Neurospora crassa OR74A: one gene and its partner. The main gene of each other region encodes a partner of the protein of the gene in region 2 in a complex. Links are inferred from orthologs where the notes say so. Each region holds a gene or a part of one and is shown on either strand. Other genes may lie near its edges.

Evidence for each region. Proteins that work in one complex are often made in the same cells at the same time.
Region 1: the proteins of NCU01772 (region 2) and NCU02533 are in contact, whole or in part, in a cryo-EM structure (PDB 7Z0H), measured with the Saccharomyces cerevisiae proteins. The link is inferred for Neurospora crassa OR74A from reciprocal best matches to the Saccharomyces cerevisiae genes RET1 and RPC40. Residues at the interface, in NP_014850.1 of Saccharomyces cerevisiae: Phe718, Thr729, Tyr730, Lys775, Ser776, Asp779, Arg780, Gly781, Arg784, Glu786, Arg788, Arg901, Asn903, Arg905, Lys927, Gln928, Glu929, Asp930, Phe933, Asn934, Asp935, Gln936, Gly937, Val992, Gly995, Phe996, Asn997, Tyr998, Lys1001, Asp1002; in NP_015435.1 of Saccharomyces cerevisiae: Val5, Ile7, Glu8, Tyr9, Asn10, Arg11, Val12, Thr15, Thr16, Ser17, Thr61, Ser62, Asn65, Arg68, Arg69, Ile72, Ser73, Val91, Gln93, Asp94, Glu95, Val96, His99, Arg100, Leu103, Gly214, Asp215, His216, Ala217, Thr224.

The regions. Positions count from the first base shown.
Region 1 is NC_026501.1:2,643,420-2,653,786, forward strand, and holds NCU02533 (DNA-directed RNA polymerase I and III polypeptide), read right to left. Parts: upstream 4,618-10,367; 5' UTR 4,509-4,617; coding exon 4,431-4,508; intron 4,340-4,430; coding exon 3,281-4,339; 3' UTR 2,921-3,280; downstream 1-2,920. Other genes in the region: NCU02531 (hypothetical protein), read right to left, coding at 1-229; NCU02532 (NEDD8-activating enzyme E1 catalytic subunit), read left to right, coding at 1,105-1,148, 1,249-1,350, 1,432-1,437, 1,496-1,575, 1,634-2,709; nuo49 (NADH:ubiquinone oxidoreductase 49kD subunit), read left to right, coding at 5,740-6,417, 6,576-7,317, 7,402-7,418; NCU02535 (hypothetical protein), read right to left, coding at 8,192-9,793. UniProt on the Saccharomyces cerevisiae protein: DNA-dependent RNA polymerases catalyze the transcription of DNA into RNA using the four ribonucleoside triphosphates as substrates.
Region 2 is NC_026502.1:2,485,980-2,496,864, reverse strand, and holds NCU01772 (DNA-directed RNA polymerase III polypeptide), read right to left. Parts: upstream 5,591-10,885; 5' UTR 5,405-5,590; coding exon 1,937-5,404; 3' UTR 1,518-1,936; downstream 1-1,517. Other genes in the region: NCU01771 (DNA repair protein rhp57), read left to right, coding at 1-1,050; NCU16560 (hypothetical protein), read left to right, coding at 8,700-8,891, 8,982-9,002, 9,080-9,504, 9,992-10,190, 10,687-10,885. UniProt on the Saccharomyces cerevisiae protein: DNA-dependent RNA polymerase catalyzes the transcription of DNA into RNA using the four ribonucleoside triphosphates as substrates. Second largest core component of RNA polymerase III which synthesizes small RNAs, such as 5S rRNA and tRNAs.

The sequences.
Region 1 (10,367 bases), on a different chromosome or scaffold from region 2:
CCAGATTGATTGCGATGTCCGGTCGCTTGGACTTGCCATCGCCGGATTTTGCTTCCTGTAACCATGCCCTCAGACGCACAATAATGGCATTGACCCCTGTCAGACTGCGAAGACAAGCTAGCAAGAGCCCCAAGGCCGAAGACTTGGTTTCATGGGAGTCTTCGTTTAGCAGAGTCCAATAGTTCGGGACGATTTCTGACACCAGCACCTGAACTAGCTTTGCGGTCATAGGACTTGGTTCCTTGATGCTGAATGTGGACCCGGCTAAATCCTCATGGCTGAGGAATCGCAAAGTAGCGACGAGCTGGTCGTAGTTAGGTTCATGTCGTAAAACTTCGAGGGCTTCCTCGGGCGAGTTCAAGGGCCTCTGACCAGGAGATTGGTTCGGCTTTACTGTTTCCTTTCTGAGGCCAACTTCCTGGAGCAGAGGTTCGTTGGGGCTCGCACTCAGGCGGGAGGTGCTGATGGGCGTCAAGAGGCCGTTCATCTCAGATATCTGTAATGATGTCAGTTGGTGATGAGGACTTTGAAATACACAGGCTGGGCTTGAAGTGAAATTCACACCCCGGAACGTTACCTATCGTTTGACCGATCGAAAGAGGACGGAACGAATTGGAAGGAAAGTGGAAATTCCGTTTCGTATCGACGACATTTCACTGAGTGTACGTAGTTATCTGCGTCAAACGGAAAGCAACAGGGGATGATACGTAGCGTCGGTGTTGCTGCTAAGTGCTAACTGATCCGTTGTGCAGGCAGTCGTCCCTTCCCTGTAGCGGCCCTGAACTGCACTTTCGGGCACTCTCCGTTGCCGCTGTTGGTAACCTACAGGGTCTCCTTTAACGGGGCGGCAGGAGCTATCCACTCACCATCTCCGAACCTGAAGTCCGGGCCCGCCCGCAAGTGGAACTATGGAAGCTTCCCTCCTCCAGTTCCGTTTGTTTGTTGTCCCGTCAACTCACCCCTCGGATTGTACATTCAACCTGCAACAATTTGTGAGCCGCGACTAATCAGCAAATATTATCACTAGCATTTCTCATCCTACCCGCCGGCCTCCCCCTTAATTATCTCACCAGCGAAGTCTCCTCTTGTAGCCATAAACTAGTCATGTCAAGTCCAGAAGTACTCCCAGACTCCGAAGCCAAAAGATGGTAGGTGTTACGCGCTCTCGATCGCGACCCAAGAACACCCCCTGGATTTCATATCTTCAGGGCATGAGTCCCAACAGCTAACACGCCACCTTTACCATAGGAAGTATCTCAACAATGTCCGAACACGGCCAGGCGCATTCGTGGATCCGGAAGAGTTTGATGGCTCAACGGTAGTAGAGAACATGAACAAAATCAAGATCTTGTAAGTTATCCTTTTAATTGGCAGTACATCAAGTGTATGCGTATATCAAATTATTCAAGCAGAAGCTGATAACTTTTCCAGAGTCATGTTAGTCTCAGCTTAATGATTTGACGGGTCATGGTTATGAGAACTGACGGCAAGGTAGCGGAGCTGGAGGACTGGGTTGTGAGATCCTCAAGAACCTCGCCCTTTCCGGGTTCAAGGACATTTCCGTCATCGACATGGGTCGGTTGTCCTCTATAGATATATCGACATGTCAATGATAGCTGACCTGGAAGTCTAGATACGATCGACATCTCCAACCTTAACCGCCAGTTTCTCTTCCGTCACGCGGACGTAGGGAAATTCAAAGCCGAAGTAGCTGCCAAGTTCGTTGAGAGAAGAGTCAAAGGCGTCAAGATCACGCCATATAACTGCAAGATACAGGACTTCGATGAAGACTTCTACCAGCAGTTCCAGATTGTAGTCTGCGGACTGGACAGCATCGAGGCACGCCGATGGATCAACGCCACCCTGGTCAACATGGCGAGTTGTGAAAACCCTGATAGCATGAAACCTCTCATCGACGGCGGCACCGAGGGCTTCAAGGGCCAAGCCCGCGTTATTCTACCGACCATGGGCTCTTGTATCGAGTGCCAGCTAGACATGCACGCTCCCCGAGCCGCCGTTCCTCTTTGCACTCTCGCCAGCATCCCCCGCCAGCCGGAGCACTGCATCGAATGGGCGCACGTCATCGCTTGGGACAAGGAGAAGCCGTTCCCGCAGCTCGACAAGGACGACCCGGAGCACATCACCTGGCTCTACCAGAAAGCCCTCGAGCGGGCAAAGGAATTCAACATATCGGGCGTCACGTACTCTCTGACGCAAGGCGTGGTGAAGAACATCATCCCGGCCATCGCGGCCACGAACTCGGTCATCGCCGCGGCCTGCTGCAACGAGGCACTCAAGATCGCATCCAGCTGTGCACCCTTTTTGGGCACCCCCGGCGAAGGCGAGCCTAATTATATGATGTATTCCGGCAACGACAGCATTTACACGTATACGTTTAAGCACGAGCAAAAGGAGGACTGCCCCGTGTGCGGCATGACGGCAAGGGTGCTCAAGGTCAACCCCAAGTGGACACTCGAAGAGCTCATAGAGTCGTTTGCTACCCTTCCTGAGGCGCAACTGAAGAAGCCGTCGGTGCGGGCTGAGGGCAAGACGCTGTACATGCAGTTGCCCCCGAACTTGGAGGAGCAGACGCGGCCAAACTTGGAGAAGACACTTGAGCAGCTTGGGCTGACGGAAGGTACTGAGCTCGCCGTTACTGATCCAGCGTTTGTAGGCGTGGTGTTCAACTTCAGCCTCAAGTTTGCATGATGGTCCCCAGACATGAACGTGTCATGATGGCCTGGCCTGGTTTGCCTGGACTTTGTTCATGCTATTTAGGGACTAGATTTGTAAATTACCTACGAGCGGGAGCGTTGCACAACAAGCAGCGGGGAATGACCCGCAAGATGGCTATAGCGATGAGTTAACTTCCTTTGCAATTAATTAGATGTGAATACAAGATATGATTAACAATGTGCTTCAACAATATGCTACGCAGTACGTAACCAAAAGACATCATGTCAAATGAGGGGTACTGTGTTTATGCAAGACAGTGTGGTTCATGACTCATGTGCACCGACATGTCTATGATAATTAACAAGCAGAAACCATTAAACTAAAGCTGGCCACCAATCCCTAGCCTCCATGACGCCGTTCCAATGTTCTTTTATATGGTTACAAGAGAGATGGGTATCCTCACGACCTAATCCGTGTGATTTTTCCTCTTTCCCTGTGTGATTCCACATCATGATCGCTCAAATTCTGTCTCAACCACCGTACATAGAAATAACCTCACCTCTTCTTCGTGCTATTTTGAATCCTCCTACCCCTGGTACAATGTTTACTGTACCATGTTCACCACCTGCTTCTCGAACCTCTTCGCCTTCTCCTTGAGGTGGGCAATCGATTCGAGGAAGATGGCGTCGCTTTCCCACTGCCCCGTGCTCTCCACCAGGTAAATGAAGTGATCCCTCCTTCGGCCCAGCTTGACCTTGTCCTTGAACTCGTCATGGCGCAAGCACTCTCTGCTGACGGTGTCACGCATGGCGTCCAGGACCACGGCCTTGAGCTCGCCCTCATGGCCCTCGTATCCGCTGCCCTTCTTCTTCGCCTCCTCCTTGGTGACCTTTTCCAGCCCGATGACGCCCTCGGGGAAGCACTTCTGGAATTTCTCGGCGTCGCGGCCTAGGATCGGCTCGAGAATGGTGATGGTCGGCATGAGGCGGTACGAGGCCGTGGCGACGGGGGAGAACTTGGCGTGATCGGACCCGACGCCCTTGTGCATGTGCATCGTCAGATCGATCTCCTGTCCCGGCCGCATCTTGGCGACGAGGATGTCAGGGTTCGTGGGCCGGATGGCGTTCTCGCCCGAGAAGTACTTGGCTTGCCGGCCCTTGGGCACGAACTTGATGTCCTTAGCGTAAACATGGGCGTTGTGGTAGAGCTCCTTGGGGTCCTTGCTGTCTGCCGGCGCGCTCTCGTTGTTCTCGCACTTGACCTTGAGCTCGAGCTCGACCGTGTTGTAGTCGCACGGGGTCTCGCCCTTCTTGTACCACTTGAGGAAGTTATGGAGGCCTTCCTTGCCGCCGGTGAACGGGATCAGGCCCAGGCGGTGGCCAAGAACTTCGTCCTGGATCACGGAGGTGTTGTTCCACATGAAAATGTCCTCAATGGCCAGCGTGGGGATGTCGGCAATCATGATACGGCGGAAGGCATTGGCGATAGAGGCGTCGACGCCAATGAGCGAGAATTGAGCCTCATAAGGGTCGTTCTGGTGGAACACTACGCGGACACTTTCGCGGAACTTTTCGATATCCCAGGAATGATCCTCGCCGGGGTAGAAGCCGGGAAAGTCGGTGGATGTGACATTGGTGACAGTTTCGGCGTTGATATGGACAGTCTGCAGAAGAAAAATGCCATCAGTTTCCGCGTTGCATGCGCTGCGCAGCCTCGACTGATGATGATGGGCGGCAAGCCAGTGATTGACGTACGTTACGCTTCTCAACCTCTTCTGGGCTCGGGACCTTTGTCCTGACGGGCACGGCGGTCTGCTTCTTTGAGGATCCCATTGCGACGATATGTGTAAATAATGCTCTAGGTTGGCGGGGTTACCCTCTCGCTTTCACACGCAGGTCGGCACGCCGGGCAAAATCTTGGGAAAGAGAGCTCTGCGCTGTGCGACGGGCGATGGAGCGGCAGAATTTTTCCCACGAACGGGAACTTTTTGACCGCCTTCGCGGGAATGCGGTTGATTGGTTGGCTGAGATCTTATCGTGCTGCAGGCAGTGGCGGAGAGGTTCAGGGACTGCCTGGCTCAACTTGATGCTCATGGGCCTCGGCGGAGACAATTGTGGACAGGACCGCAATGACTGGGACAAGGCCAACAGGGTACATGGCGGGCCATAACCTCTGTCAGGTTACCGTCGACTTCGACCATCGACGAAACCTGAGGCGAAGAGAGAACGCTAGATCTTCACTTGCAAAGGGCTGCGCAGGTATGATGGGAGATACTTCAACTACCTAGATATACTTGCATGTCGGGAGTATCAATTCCAAATCCACAATTTTGTAGCTTCGGCGAGGGAAAGACATCGGGGCTTCATATTCCATGTCCACATCGAGGTTTGTCGCGAGTAAGTGACATGTTGACTAACTCCACTCTTAACTCCAGCACATCTTGGAATCTCTGTGGTCATTGTTATAAGTGTGGACATGCTCTTCCATCCTCCTCTTCCTTTCTGCGAAAACCTCTCCCTAAAATGCCCAAATTCCGACTTACACTGCCTCGAGACTGCCTGGCGAAGGACCGAGGCTTCTACAACCAGCCAATCAGATGGCATATAGCGCGGCTGCCCTCCATGGGACCGCTTGGCGGCACGGCTGCCGGATAAACGCCTTGGCCGGCAACAGTCGAGACGGGAGCTTGCCCGCCGTGGGGGGAACGTTGTACCAGAAGAAGCTTGGTCTCTGACTGCTCAACTGATGGCCTTTGATTGGGTTGAAATTCACTGACCAACTGACGGCAACGATTTGAGGAGTTCGAAGCTGGGGCGTTGCTGCGGCCGTGGTCAGGGAAAGTCGACTGGACGTCAACTGAAGCATCTCCACCACCACCTTATTACTGCTATCACTAGAAATCGCAAGCTCACTGCGAGCCATTGAACCGCCGGAGAAGAGGCCACATCCAGCGGCGAACCTCCTCCCCTTTGTCCTCCGTCGCTGTCAATCCTGCGAATCTATCCATCTCCGTTCCCTGACCTTCTGAGCGACCCAAAGCAAGCGGCAGTCCCACAAACAACAATGGCGACGACGTTGTTCCGACTCGCTGGGCGCAATGCCAAGCGCCATTGTATGCGCCAGAGCACCACCATCGCTCACAACCTCAACTCGACTCGCGCCTTTTCTGCCTCCGCTCTCAGACGGTATGCCGAGCCCAGCTACGAGGGCCAAGGAACCCGTCTGGTCCCTACCGGCGACGACTTTGCGCCCAACAACGATCTGTATGGCTTGGAGGCTTTGAAGGCAGACGGTGCCCCGAGAGTGCCTCCCCAGGATCATATCCTGGCCCGCAAGGTGCGGCACTACACGGTCAACTTCGGTCCTCAGCATCCGGCCGCTCACGGTGTGTTGCGCCTGATTCTCGAGCTAAAGGGTGAAGAGATTGTTCGTGCCGACCCCCACGTCGGCCTGCTGCATCGCGGCACCGAGAAGCTCTGCGAGTACAGGACCTACCTTCAGGCGCTCCCTTACTTTGACCGTCTTGACTACGTCTCCATGATGACCAACGAGCAATGTTTTGCTCTGGCCGTTGAGAAGCTGCTCAACGTTGAGATCCCCGAGCGTGCCAAGTGGATTCGTACAATGTTCGCTGAGATTACCCGTATTCTCAACCATCTCATGTCTGTTTTGTCGCACGCCATGGACGTCGGCGCTCTCACGCCTTTCTTGTGGGGCTTTGAGGAAAGAGAGAAATTGATGGTGAGTGTTGATTCGTATTTTTCGTTAAATATCGGCGGTCTCTATCAGATGGGTATATTAAAAACCAATGCGCGAAACTCTACGCGAAAGGACCTGGGAATACCAATGCAGCACGCACCCAACCCCAGCAGCTCAATCTAATATGTGAAAAACCTTAGGAATTCTACGAGCGAGTCTCTGGTGCCCGTCTCCATGCTGCCTACGTCCGCCCCGGAGGTGTCCACCAAGATATCCCTCTCGGCCTGCTCGATGACATTTACATGTGGGCCACGCAGTTCGGCGACCGCATCGACGAAACCGAGGAGATGCTTACGGACAACCGTATCTGGATAGACCGTCTGCGCGGCATCGGTGTAGTCTCTGCCGCCGACGCCCTGAACCTGTCCTTCACGGGCGTCATGCTCCGCGGTTCCGGCGTGCCATGGGACATCCGTAAGAGTCAGCCGTACGACGCATACGACCAAGTCGAGTTTGACGTTCCCGTTGGCATCAACGGCGACTGCTACGACCGGTACCTGTGCCGCATGGAGGAGTTCCGTCAGTCACTCCGTATCATCCACCAGTGCCTTAACAAGATGCCCGCTGGTCCCGTCCGTGTCGAAGACTACAAGATCTCCCCGCCGCCCCGCTCCGCCATGAAGGAGAACATGGAGGCCCTCATCCACCACTTCTTGCTGTACACCAAGGGCTATGCCGTCCCGCCCGGTGACACCTACTCGGCCATCGAGGCCCCCAAGGGCGAAATGGGCGTCTATGTCGTCAGTGATGGTTCCGAGAGGCCGTATCGTGTGCACATCCGCGCTCCCGGCTTTGCTCATCTGGGTGGCTTTGACCACTTGTCGAGGGGCCACATGTTGGCTGATGCCGTGGCCGTTATCGGCACAATGGATTTGGTGTTTGGTAAGTTTGATTCTCATTGTGTGAAACTCTCTTCTTTAAAATTCCAAGTGGTTTGGTAGCTAACCCTTTTATTCCTACTTCCAGGTGAGGTCGATCGGTAATGTTGAAGCTCTCCGGCTGCAAACTTTGTGACATGGAACGCAACGCATGGGATATTTTTTTTTTGATGAATGAAGCACAGCAACTGCAGATATTGAAATGAGCGGATAAGCAGGCCGCGCGCGATGTTTTACCTTTAAAGAACGCCTAAAGGAGAAACAGTACTTTGGGTTTTGCTGATAAAGGTGGGACGTTTTGACTTCTTCTCTTATCCCCTGGCAAAAACGGAACAGGAAACATAGATAGATGCAGACTAGACCAGCAACAGAAGAAGAATAGCCAATTCAGTCATCGGGTCTTTAAAAGAGAGACTGAAGTGAAGGGATGCCATGCTTTGGTCTTTCGTCGTTGAGTTGTGTGCAACACATCATCCACGTCCTTCTTCTTCAACATTTTCTGTGGTGTTGGTGTTAGTTGTGCCAGTCCTTGATGTGCATGGTTGTGTGGTGCTGTGAGACGAGATATGAAAAAGGCAACGCGACGACTGCTTGTTGTTACAATAACTTCTCAGCCGCCACTGGACTGGCTGCCGTCGAACATTGTCGCGGAGCGAACACTCGCTCTCTGTCGACTTTGATAATCTCCATCCCGCCGTCATACTGCGCGCTGAGAATTTGTTGTTTTCGTGGTTCGCTGTCCTCTGTATTGTTAGCTTCACAATTGGGCCACTCTCATAAAAGTCCCAGGGAATTCACATCTTCGAAACAAGTCATGGAAGCGATGGGATGGCGACTCACCAGTCCAAGGACTCAAGATGAGGAATCCTTAATCCCGCTCAGGAGTACGATGAGCTCCGCTGGTGTCCTCTTCCCAAACTTGTACGGTGTTGCTGGTATTGCTCGGCGTGATCAACTTGAGCCCCACAACCACCTTCAGCATCATTCGCGATGCCGGTTCCGTTTCCGTTTCCGTTATTGGTTTCAGTATCGGTCCCAACCTTATTAGTCTCAGCTTGAACCTCGCTCGAAACCACCCCAGCTCTAGAACGAGGTTCAGGTCCAGGTCCAGGTTCAGATTCAGATTGGAAGCTCGACTTGCATCTTCTCAACTGACAATCCTCCCAATTAGGCATGTGTACTTCACTGCCCTCTGGTCCGGAGCCGACGGGCAGACCGCAGTATGGAAATGGGAATGGAAGACACGGTGGCGGAGAGGAACGACTGGTTAGGGAATGAAGTTCCTGACAATGTTGCTGAAGCTGTTGCGGTCCATCCTGAGTCTCGGGCTCGTGGTCACAATGATCGGGGAAAACAATGCCCATTGGTACGAAGGTGTGTGGTCCGTAAACGTGTTGTTCATGGTTGCCGTAGACCGAGGCGACGGCGTGGGACGACGAACGGATAGAGAGCTGCCCTGGCTGATCTGCCAGGCCGAAAAGCTCCGGTCGCTGCTGGTGCTGTGCTGCCGGATCACAAGACCGCCCCTGGGGGAAAGGCACGGAGGTGTTCGCCAAAGTCACCGAAGTGGCATGCCTTGGCTGGCTGTGGTGATGTCCCTGTCCTTGATGAAAATGCTCCTGCTGATGATGAAGGCAGTGGCTCTGGCGGTGATGCGAGCGAGCTCTGGTATGACGAGGGCCGGTCGGAGGTAAATTAGATACAAGAGGAGGTTTCGGTTTGGCCGGGGGTGATGACGCAGCAGCAGCAGGATCAAAAGTTCCAAACGTATCATTGATCTGGGCCATCCGTAAAGTAATTTCCTCCTCACCCTTGTTTATGGCCCTATTGCGGCTCTCAGTCTGGCGGTATTCCTGGAGATACTCCCGTTCCCCGGTGATCATGTCATATTCTCCCACGTCAGGCTGAAAGGGCGTAAAACGGACCGGACACTGGCATCTTCCGCTGTCGTGGAGAGCGCGGTGATCAGCTAGCCACTCGGCCGCGTACAAGCTGGGCAAGCGGATGGCAACACGCTGCTGATCGCCGGTAGCGGTCTCGGTGAATATGGGCGGAATGTGGTAAGTTCCTGTTCCTGTATTGCCTTGTTGTAGTGCCTCCTCTACCTCCGTTGGATCATAGGGAGTGGGAGCAGATCCACAATGTCCGATTGTGTCGTCTCGGGCCCCTTCAGTGAAGTCTTCCTCTGGACCTAGGACGTTGCCAATCACGCGAGGTCGGGTCAGAAGGCCGGGGAAGACCACATCACAGCCGCAAACTCCACGCTCATGGAGCCAGCGATGCTCCCACTCCCGAATAAGTACCCATCGTGAGTGTAGGAGTCTTTCGCAAGGGCCGCACATGGTTTGTGCCAGGTGTTGCTTTGACGGCCGGATGGTGCAGATGGGGAAGTTGTGTCCTGCGGTGGTCAGGGGGCACGGGCGAACGACACCCGGTGTTCGGTGCCCACACTGGTAGGCAATGTACTCTTGGATACACATCCCTCTGTTGACTTGAGCTGCTTGCACGGAAATCTCGTGTCAACTGGGCCTGGCTAAGCCGCAGTTGAAAGTGAACCAGAGCTATGGTTGATTGAGCGGTATTGATACGTAGAGATATCGACGAAGACTGCATTGAAGTTCAGGACCGTTGTATGAATAAAACTGCCAACTGGCCCTGACCACGGCTTCGGTCACCCTCTGAAGCGTCCTGCGAGGTTGTTGTAACTTTGTCGTCAATCCTAAGGCGACGGAATTGAGCGGACTCAATGGCTCCGACGAAGAGAAGCCTTTCAAGATGAGCAGTTGTCGAAATCCGCTTGCCTGCTTGAGTACCGAAGTCCTCTCCGGGTGGTTTTCAATGAATTTGTATACTCCGATATTTGAGCGGGCCTATCCTCATCGTTCGACAAACAGATGAGAACGTGGCTGACGACGCAGTGTTTTATAGCGCACCCACTGCAGATGGAAGATTTGATTGAGTTCTGGTACCGGCAATGGTAAGCCAAGTGCAAGTTGTTGAGGATGCCAGCCAACAATCGACCAGCTAATTTCTTCGCAGATGACCAGTTCCGCA
Region 2 (10,885 bases):
CTGTACATCAGCACCGAGGCGCCGCTCTCCACCCGGCGGCTGGCCCAAATGCTCACCACCAACCCTTTCTACGCGGACCTTGACTCAGAAAGCGGCCGAGGAGGAGAAGGAGGAGGAGGAGGAGGAGGAGGAAAGAGACCATCGCTCGATAACATCATCAGCACCGTCACGCCCGACCTGGAAAGCCAAGATCACATCCTCACTTACCAAGTGCCCGTGGAGATTGAGCGGCGCAACATCGGCCTGTTGGTGCTCGATAGCGTGGCAGCCAACTACCGCGCCGAGTTTGATCGTTCTTCCAAAGAAGCAGCTACGTCGTCCTCGACACCAGGCGCGCGATCCTCTAACATGGGAGCGCGCACCGCCGAGCTAGTTCGACTAGGTATGCAACTTCGCGATCTAGCGCAAAAGTACAACCTAGCCGTGGTGGTGTCCAATCAAGTAGCCGATCGGTTTGGGACTAAGATGCCTGAGCCCATTTCTTCTTCTATCCCTCGCTCCTCCATTTCCATCCCACCTCGATCCAGCAGCAACGTTCCTACACCCTCCACCCCCTACCCTCACGGTCACCCAGCAGACGACGACACCTCAACAATCCACCACCCCGCCCTCCACTTCGACAACCAACAACGTTTTTTCACCGGTTGGGGCGACGATCCTTACGCCTCCTACGCTTTGAAGACTCCCTCCTTGGGTCTGGTCTGGTCTACACAGATCTCTGCGAGGATAGCGCTGTTCAAAAGGCCAGCTTACGGGAGGAGTAAGTACCAAGCTGATGATGATGATGATGATGATGACATTGCCGTTGTCGGCAGTGGGAGAGAAGCTGTGGGAATGCCAATGCTGAAGAGCTGGAGGAGGTGGATGAAGGTTGTTTTTGCAGGATGGACGGCGGAGAGCGGGATGGGGTTGGGAGAGGGAAGTGTGGAGTTTGAGGTTTGGATGGGGGGGCTGAAGGGGGTGGGGAAGAAGAACGGGAAGGAGGAGGGAATGAAGAAGGGGGAGGGGGAATTGAAAGTGGGTGGGAAGGGAAAGGGAAAAGAAGTCTGACATGTGAAAGGGGTTTATGAGAGGACAAGAAAAGAGATGATCTGAGGTGGTTTTGGGAAGCAGTGAGTAGTGTTTTCAACTGTGCTAGAAATGATTTGGGAAGAAGAAAAAAAGGGATAATATGTGATACCCCCCAGATTTTGGAGCTTAGAATACACTTTATTTAGAATACCAAATGTAAAAGTCGACGGTTAGTGACGCCAGTCAGTGAGCGAACGATACACACGGTCAAGAATAGCCAAAATACTCGCCGAAAATATCAAGGATTTCTTCTTTATCTTAAGTCAAAATCAATCGCAGAGTGACGTCGTCCACAACAACTGCTTGCCTGTTGGATTTTATACGCAGGGGTAATTAGATATATTGCATGCATGCGTATCCATTCATGGGTACGTTATGAACTTTTCTTCCTCACTATCACAGCAACCCAGAAGTAGATCCGGTCCCGGAAAGCTGGGTTAGACAATGTCTAATGGGCACCCGTCCTCTTTGCTAACCTGTGATATCCAGTCAGAAATCAAGAACAACGACAACCAGACGCTAACCGTGGCAGTAAAAGGGGCTTTAAATAGGTTGCAAAAGGATCTTGATCGATTCGAACTTGTATACGTATTTCGTCTTTGTGTGTAAGTCCCATTACAGTCTAGTGTAACCGTTTGTCTACCCTCGCCGCGCTCTTTGAAAATGCTAAGGAGTAAGAGAACCACGCGCGCCCAAACACCTGTCATGTAAACTGTCTGCAAAAAATCCAAACATCAACCGGCTACCACCACCAAAGATCTCGTTTTCCACAAAACCCGTGCTCATTCTATCGACGAGTCTGAATTCCTACACGACACGATACCACATCATATCCTCTACCACCTCCGGAGGGAGTCGCTGAAAACTACCTCGGGTGAGGGAACTCATCCTCCAACTTAAGCTTCACACCCACATTCATACTGATAAGCTCCTGCACCAGCAACTTGCAAGCATACGGCATTGTCATCTGGGTAACGTTCCTCGTGCTCTTGCAAGCGTTGCAGTAGCCCTTGTAACCGAACAGGCCACACTCCTGGCAGACGTCGAGTTCGGTGCCATCCGAGGATATCATGAGACGCTCCAGCAACAACTGCGAGGCGCCGTAGGCGATCAAGCAATCGCGCTCCATCTCTCCGAGACGGAGACCACCGTCGCGTGAACGGCCTTCGGTGGGCTGGCGCGTGAGGATGGCGCGAGGGCCGCGCGAGCGCGAGTGCATCTTGTCCTGTACCATGTGCTTGAGGCGCTGGTAGAAGATGGGGCCGTTGTAGATGTAGGCCTCCATGGGCTCACCCGTGATGCCCGAGGTGAAGTAGTCTTTACCCTCCCACGAGAAGCCGTGGTCGATCAGGGCCTGGCCCATGGACTCGACGGGGTGCGAGCGGAAGGCATCGCCGAAGCCGTAGTCCTTCTCGCCAGCGATGACCGAGGCTTTGCCGGTCAGGCACTCGAAGAGCTTGCCGACTGTCATTCGAGAGGGGAAACCGTGGGGGTTCATGATGATATCGGGGCGGAGGCCCTTGTCGGAGAAGGGCATGTCCTCTTCGTTGACGATGATACCGACGACACCCTTCTGACCGTGACGGGACGAGAATTTGTCACCAAGTTCCGGCCTACGGGTCTGGCGGGTTTGGACCTTGATCAACTTGTTCTCGCGCTCGTTGACCGAAATCATGACCTTGTCGATGATGGCGGGGTCGGAAATGCGGTAGTTGGTTGATGCGTCACGGTAATCGTCTGACCCACGATCGCCAGCGATTCCAGTAGAGATCTGGTCCAACGGGGTCTCCTTCTTGATCATCGTTTGTCCGGATTCAACCTTTGAGCCCACCTGGGCCAGGCCATCGGCGTCGAGGATGGCGTGCTTAACAATGGGCTTGTCGTCTTCGTCCTTCATGATACCGCCAACCCTGTCGCGGCGCCCATTCGTATAGCCTTGCAATTCGGCGGTATACTTGCGGAACACTTGGCAGCGGCCGAATCCACGATCTAGAGAAGCCTTGTTCAGAACAAGCGCATCTTCGATATCGTAGCCAGAGTAAGACATGACAACGACGGTGGCGTTCTGTCCTGCCGGGAGCTTGTCGTAGTGGATAAGTTGAATCGTCTTCGTAATGACCATTGGTCGTTGGGGATAAACAAGGGTATAAAGAAGGGTATCGATTCTGTTGAACTGATTGTAGGCAATAGCACCAATGGCTTGTTTACCCATGGCGCACTGGTAAGTATTACGGGGAGACTGGTTGTGATGGGGAAAGGGAATTAGACCAGCGACTGCTCCGAGAATCGTGAACGGCTCAATTTCCATGTGCGTAGTGCTGTTGGTGATCTGATCCTCCTGAAGCGCCACAAGGGTATCGTTCTCTTCGTTGACATCGAGATACTCAACCACGCCGCTGGTCAGGAAAGTGTCGAATGTCGCTTGCCCGAGTTGAAGCATCTTCAGGTGCTCTGCCTTCAACATGGATTTGCCGTTCTTGACGATGATGTACGGGCGGCAAATACGTCCTTCATCGGTAGCGATATGAACCGCCGAGAAGTGCTCGTTGATGTGGATGCTCACAAAAGGAGAGACCCAGCCCCGGCGACGCAAAGTTCTGAACCTGGCGGCAAACCGCTTTGGCTCCCTGGTCACAGCAAATGGTGTACCGTTCAAATGGATGATATACGAGCCTTTGCTGTGCATCTCTGTTCCGGTGTATTCTCGGATCGGTCCCACGCTCTCATCAGCAGCAAAAATCATCTTCTTAACTGGTTCCTCCGGCACATTCGTGGTAATGTGTGTCATGAGTGCCAAATTCTTTACCAGACCACAGGCTTCACCTTCAGGTGTATCAGAGGTGCAGAGCATACCCCACTGTGAGGGCTGTAGGGCTCTTGGACCGGAAACCTTTCTTGTTTTTTCGAACTGTGAGCTGATACGCGTCATCATACCCAGCGCAGCGATATAACTGAGTCGGCTGAGCACGTGGGTGATACCGGCTCTGTTCATGTTGAAACGCTTGACCGTCCAGTTGCCGCTCTGAATGGCGCGGTTAAGACCGTGAGAGATATAATGGCCGTTAGCCATGATCGCACCATGGGGATCATACGTAGAGGTACGGTTGGGTTTCTTGAAAAAGTTGTCAATGTTGTACTTGACGTCTGAAATGAACTTTTTGAACAAGTCTTCAAATAGAAGGGAGATCAACTGTCCAGCCAATTCCAATCTCTTGTTGCCGACGAAATCTCTGTCATCGACGAGCTTGGGATTCTGAGCTGCCATCAGCACGCGGCGAACCATCATGGCAATGTAGACGGCCTTGGGATAGAAGTCGAGACCCTCAACAGTAACGTGCGCGATAACTAAGTTCGCAAGTGCGTCGAGACCTTCTTCAGCATGGTTTCTTCGAGGAGCGGCACCGAATTTGGGTCTGTTACCGCCCATCTTGACTCTAGCACCAACGTATTCCAACGCTTGTTGTTGTGTGTAGACACCAGCTCTTCCGGCTTCATCGAAGTTGATGAGGAAATCGTCCTGGTAGCGCGCATCGCCACCGCAAACCAGCTCGATGATGTCGTTGTCGGAAAGACCACCGAAGGCCTTGAGAACGATGACGATGGGAATGGGCTCGGAGAGGGTGTTGTGCTGCAGGACAATCCGGTCCTTCTTGAGTACGACGTAAGTCTTTGACTTTCTCTCGTGTGTGGAACTGGTAACCGAGGCCATGACTCCGCCGGTCTTCTCGTCGGCCTCGACAATGATACGGTTCTTGCTAAGCTGTTCCTGAATCAAGATGACCTTTTCGGTTCCGCCAATAACGAAGTAGCCACCAGGATCGAGAGGGCACTCGTTGAAGACCTCCATCTGGGCATTGGTGGCGCCGTTGAGGTAGCACTTTGCGCTCTTGAGCATGACGGGAATGCGGCATAGCGGGATGTTCTTGCGGACGATAACGTTCTTGTCGCGGGTGTAGGCGATGTCGACCTCGACGGGGGCGGCATAGGTGAGGTCGCGGAGACGGCACTCCATGGGGGTGACGGGGTTTCGAGACTGGACTTGTTCGCCATCTTCGGTGCGGGTGGGCATGCCGACGCGGATGTCTCTGAACTCGAGCCAAAAGTTGGGGTCCTGGTCGCTGCGGACGACGCGGTTGGCCCTAACGATGTCCTTGATTTCCTCGTTGACGAAGTAGTTGTACGAGTCGATGTGTTGCTTGACGAGGCCCTTGACCTTGAGGAAGGCCGGGACAAGATGGAACTTGTCCTGCGTGGTCGAGATGGGATCGGTCAGCTTCTTGCCATTGTAGAACGGCTCCAGCAGGGCCTCAAAGCCATCGTCGAGAGCCGCCATCCTTGCATGTGCTAACTGCGGGTGACGGTTCGTCGTATCGATCGGGCCGGAGGAATGGAGGATGGCGATGATGGGCGCGGAACGACCGGGAATGTGTGTTTGGTTGAGAAGATACGCCTTGCAGTTGTGTAGGTAGATTTCGATGTGATTTTTGGCCCCGCGGCAAATTGATAAGGATTAGTTGCGATAAACTTTTTCTACGGGCTGGCCGCTGCCATTTCTTGTTAGGTCAGTAGAGGTAAGCCGCGGCTGGGGCGGTGGGGGACGACGGGGCGGGAGTGGTCTGTGCTTGACTGTTAGTGTGTGTAGTGCACTACACTAGAGGTAGTGTTGTGGTGCGGTGACCGGTGACTGCTAGTGACTGCAGTGGTACCTAACTGGTATGCCGAGGCCAAAATTGTTAGCGCCCACGTTTTGGACCCCTGATTGACAGTTACATATACCTATGTAGGTTCCTTGTTCCACTTTTGGCCGTGCCCTCCACCTGTCGGGTACCTTTGAAACCTTTCCTTTTGCTTTGACTCCGGACCGTCACTTTGATGTTCGTGATAAGGAACCCCCGCCTCTGTGCAACTCCGACACATCTGCCTCCTGGTGGTAGGTTGTATTTACCTATCCAACTTCAACTAGCACAGCGATTTGAACAATTTGTAGCGGGGTCAGGCCAGCTAGGTAACCTCAAGATAGCTATGTATCCGTTCTGCTGAATCTAGCCGCGCCAAGCGGAAGCCGGGCCTTCGATCGACACACCAGTCAACAGGGGAGAGCTTCTGGTTATGAAATCACCTGCCGGGTCGTTCACTATTTCTCTCCTACCTGTTATCATGTTGATGGTCTTCTTCGGTCTTTGTTCGTTGATATGGCAGCCTTTGAATTGCTAATCGCATACAACGGAGGTTGATGTTATTCCCAAGTGCTGTGACCTGCTCAGGCTTCAAGAATCAGAGAAGGGTTATGCTTCTGGCTGACTATACAAACGTCAAAGAGTCGCATCACCGTTGGCCGTGTCTTACAGCATAGTGTAGGTAGGTACCCATCTTTTCCTAGGCCAGCTCCAGCAGGGTGCTACCTTGCTTGAATCGACCTGGAACCCAACCCAGCAGTGGGGCAAGATCCGAAAGAGGAGCAATTGAAAAAAAAAGGCGAGGAGATTTCACATCAAGGTTAAACACGGGGGCGCTGCACTTGTGCGTTCGCTTTCTCTACCATGGTCTCAATGAGCATTCAAGACATTCCATATCTCAGCGTCTACCATAGCTATCACCTGGCTATCGTACATTTGAGTGCTCAGAATGTAAATCGATCTTCTCTCTTGTACTGAATCTTCCACAGGGCAGAAGTGAGGGTTAGAGTGTCCAGCCTTGAACATTGACGGCTGTCTGCCTGTCACTCACTGTCTTGTGCCTTTTGTCACTATGGCTACCTTTCCCATGCCTTGTCTCGAGCTTGTCTCGCGTGTCAGCTAGAGTGCTGCAACACGCAATCCCTCTCCCGTTCTGTCGCCAGCCAATCATTACCTATCCGGTTCCAGACAAGGCCTAACATCGCGCAGGGGCAGCTGCAGACTGGACGCAAGGGCGCGGGTAAGAGAATCTGGGGCAGCCACCTCGTGGATTGCCTCACTGCAGGCCGTATAGCGCCCGGCGACGCCTATACACCGCTAATTCCTCAGGACTTCCACTTTGCCGTCTCTGGTGTTCCGTTCAATGAAAATCCTGGGGGTTCCTCGTAAGGCGATATATCTGGGAACTGAAGCAGGGCAAAGACCGGAAGAGGCTTTATCTCCATCCTACAGACACCCCCTGGGCGGAGTCAGGGTAGGTACCGTAGGCTTGGATCCCTCATCGCCGTCGCCTGCTGTTGTCTTGTAAAGCACATGTCCGTTTACAGGCCATGTTCAAGGGATCTGGTAGCAACTGGAGGCTGTCTCGTTGTACCAGATTGGCTAATGAGGTCAGATACTCCAATGCCACGCCAGCAAGCCGCATTTTTAATCATTCGCAACTCTGGCTGTCAACTCCCAAAGAAGTGAAAGGGGAAAGGGAAAAGAGGAAGAAGACGACAGCGTCGATGAGGTGAGGAGAGCTTCCACTCACTTCGCAAGTACCGGTACCTGTCCGAAGGGTGCAAAGCGGGGACCTCTTAGCGCAATCGCCCTTGGCCAGCAGATCCAATGATTGGGCTTCTGTCGTCCACCCACTGCGGAATCGAAGCACTAGTCTCTGGCTGTCAGGGGTTCTCGAACCCAGCATGCAGCATGTCCTCGTGTAGAGGTACTTACCTAGCTACCTAGGTAGTACGTAGAGGTGAGTTTGACAGTCCTGAGGGCATCCACAGAAGAGAAGTGACATGGACCACAGCGGCACCTCCAGCGGCAGCGGCAGGCTGGGCTGGGGGGGTTGAGGTCCAGTGCCCGCGAGAGAGGAAGCGGGTGGCATCCCATCCTCTCGCGCATCCCCATCCGTTCGGTGCCACCAACCGACCGACCGTGACCGTCAGTCTTCCGCCATACACTCCCTCTACTTCGACCTCCCAACCCGTCAGGCTTACTCGTCCTCCATCCCATCTCTCTTCGCTCTTTTTGCTGTATTACTACCGCTCCCGAACCTGCTGCTCCAGGCTTCCCGGGGCGCAGCGTATAGAGTATACGTGCGCCGACGAGACATATTGTTTCGCTTGGTACCTCTACGACTAGGTAGGTCGGTAACCTTGACGTCGTTCCTTCAATCGCATCCCGTCCATCACATACCTCAGGTCCCGGGCCACTCATACGCCTTCCATCCCCTCTCAACCTGCGCGACCTCGGACGCTGGAGCCCACGAGAGCCACGGCCTCGTCCTCACCCAGCGCTGGCCCATCCCAATGTCCAGTCAGTCTCATAATGGGCGCCATAGAGGTACTCAGGCTGCTCCAGTCTTGAGGACACGGCCGACTACAAGCGCGGTCCTATGCCTGCCACACAGCTTGGATGGCCATCGCAACAGCTGTCAGCATCCGGACGAGCTTTTGGAATTCGACACACCAGCCTTGCCGAACCCGAAGGAACTGTTCTGATTGCGACTCGCCGAGGGGTCAGCCATTCGTCACTACAACTGCTCTACATGTGGCTGTACATGGCACATTATCGTCCTCATGTGTTGCTTCTTCTCACAGTGCTCGTCTTGGTATTCGCTGAAAAAAGATGTTGACTAACGCTTGTGTGTGGCATTAGATTATAGAGGGAGCAGCCGCCGACGGATCCATCACCCTGTACAACAAAAGTGTATCGATTAGCAACTGTAAAGCCGAGATAATCATGGACGAGTTCTACCGCCCCCAGCCCCAGCGAGGCGAATCGCAAATGGCGCCCTCCTTTGTCAACAGGAGTGGTCCCTCCCTACCGCGCCGATTCACCGCAGAATCGGGCCATGTACCAACACTGTCATCCTTTATACCTGGTTCCCAGCGCCCACCCGAGCCCATCGAGTTTGCTGCTACTCCTGCTGCGGTACGTTCTTCCGGTCCCGGCCGCCTCTGCTCTTGGTGCAGACGCGACGGTGACATGTTTGTTGGAGATCATGCTGATCATGCTTGGTAGACTCTCCACAAGGTTCAGCTGGTACGTCGCAACTTGTTCGCAACGACGGCCCCAGGTGCCCACTAACCTCGCGGCCCATGCGGTTGCCTTGACAACAGTTAGAAAAGAAGAGACAGGAATACGAACGAATCCGAGAGAGCAAGCGGCGGTTCGAAGCCGAGCTCTCTAAACTAGACGCTCAGCAGCGTCAGGAAGAGCGTGAACTCGCACAGATGGCAGAGGATCTGCAGATAGGCAGATTCGCCGGCCACCAGTCCGAGCCGACCACACCCCCCGAGTATCGCGATGCCTCAAGAGGCTTTCCCTCCATGTTTTCCCGCCCGAACCGGCACTCGACCGGCCTCGTCAACCGTGGAACCCGCTCCTTGCTCACATCTCCGCCGTCGGGGATGCTGCCCATGCGGCTAGCCTTTGATGACCAACTGCCGACACGCTCAGGTCCAGGCTCACGAAGGAACAGTGACGAAGATGAGAAGGAAGAGGCTGTACGCCAGGATCCCACCAGCCATCGGTCCACCAAAGCGTAAGTATTTGCTTTTCTCTTAAACTGTCGAACAGGTTTTGCGTTGCTCCCAGTCTGCTGCTGCGATCTGATGTGAAGCCGTTGCGGTTTCTGTGATGGGGCAGGAGAAGAGATCATAAGCCCCTCAAACTTACTGTAAAGGGTATCGAAGTTTCGGCCCATCTTTCTGCCTGGCTGTGCTCTTGGCTGAATCTCCTCTTTTGCTGTGTCCAAGGCACTCTTTTTCATCCCATAATCACAACTTATAGAAGGAGAATGGCGATCAATAGCAGACTCGATTATCCACCCTAGTGGGAAGTGATCTATAGAGGTTGCTATTGTCTGACAGGTTACTCCATTCTGGGGATGAACCTTCTATAAAAGCACACGGTTGCGCCCTTCTCTCCTTGACCACAACTTGACTCCTGTATAACTCACCGCACTCGGCCCCAATATCAATTGCAACCTCGACCCGGAGCTTGACATTAACGGGGGATCTGCCTATTAGTACGAACCGCTACTCTATGCCTGTGACCCGATCCCGTACCTCGTACGATATCGGTCTCGAAGACAGCAACAACACAGCCGGATTTCTTTTCGACGACGAAGAAGATAACTCGGGAGAGGGCAGAGCGACTCCCACCGGGCAAGTAAGCAACGCAGACGCTTTCCCTACATTGTTTAGACAGCAGGGATATTCCAATAGGGTGAGTTTGGCTTTTCCCGTTCCACTGGTTGCGTGACGGAAAGTGGTGTTTCGATCGATCCTGTCACTCAACTCCGGCTCAAATTCATTTCACCTGGCAGGCAACTGAGCTTTCAGAAGCCCGCTCCTTGAAGTGCTCAGATGCCGGTGAATGTGTTATGCTGGTTTGGAGCCCCAAGGCACTTGCGGGTTCGAAAACCACACCCACACCCACACCCACACCCTCTACCCCCACACCTGACAGCACGAAGCACATCTATCCCTGAACCACCATGCTGCTTCCTCTTCACTTCGCGCATCTTCCTTGCCTTCGTTTGCACCATCACTGTCAGCAAAACATCCCGCAAATTGTCGTGTACGATAAATGCAGTGGAAGTCTTGTTTATTTTGTTTGCTGCCCCCTCATACCGATATTTCATCCCCTTCCACCACTCCTCCCCCCCAAAACTTTTGTTTTTTTTTTGTGATTTTGTGTTGACTCAATATCCCACCCAAAGCTGTCTGCTTCTTCAGCATTAGACGTTGTTTTAGGCCAGTCTTTCGGCCTTGATAGTGTTGGCGCAAGCGGCTGGAACAGCATTAACAAGCATCGTTCACAGCATAGCATGTCTGCTATCGGTTCTGGACAGGCAAGCGGAACAGGCTCAGTGGCTTCGCCTGAGCTGACTCCCATCGGCACTCAGCCCGCAAACGTTC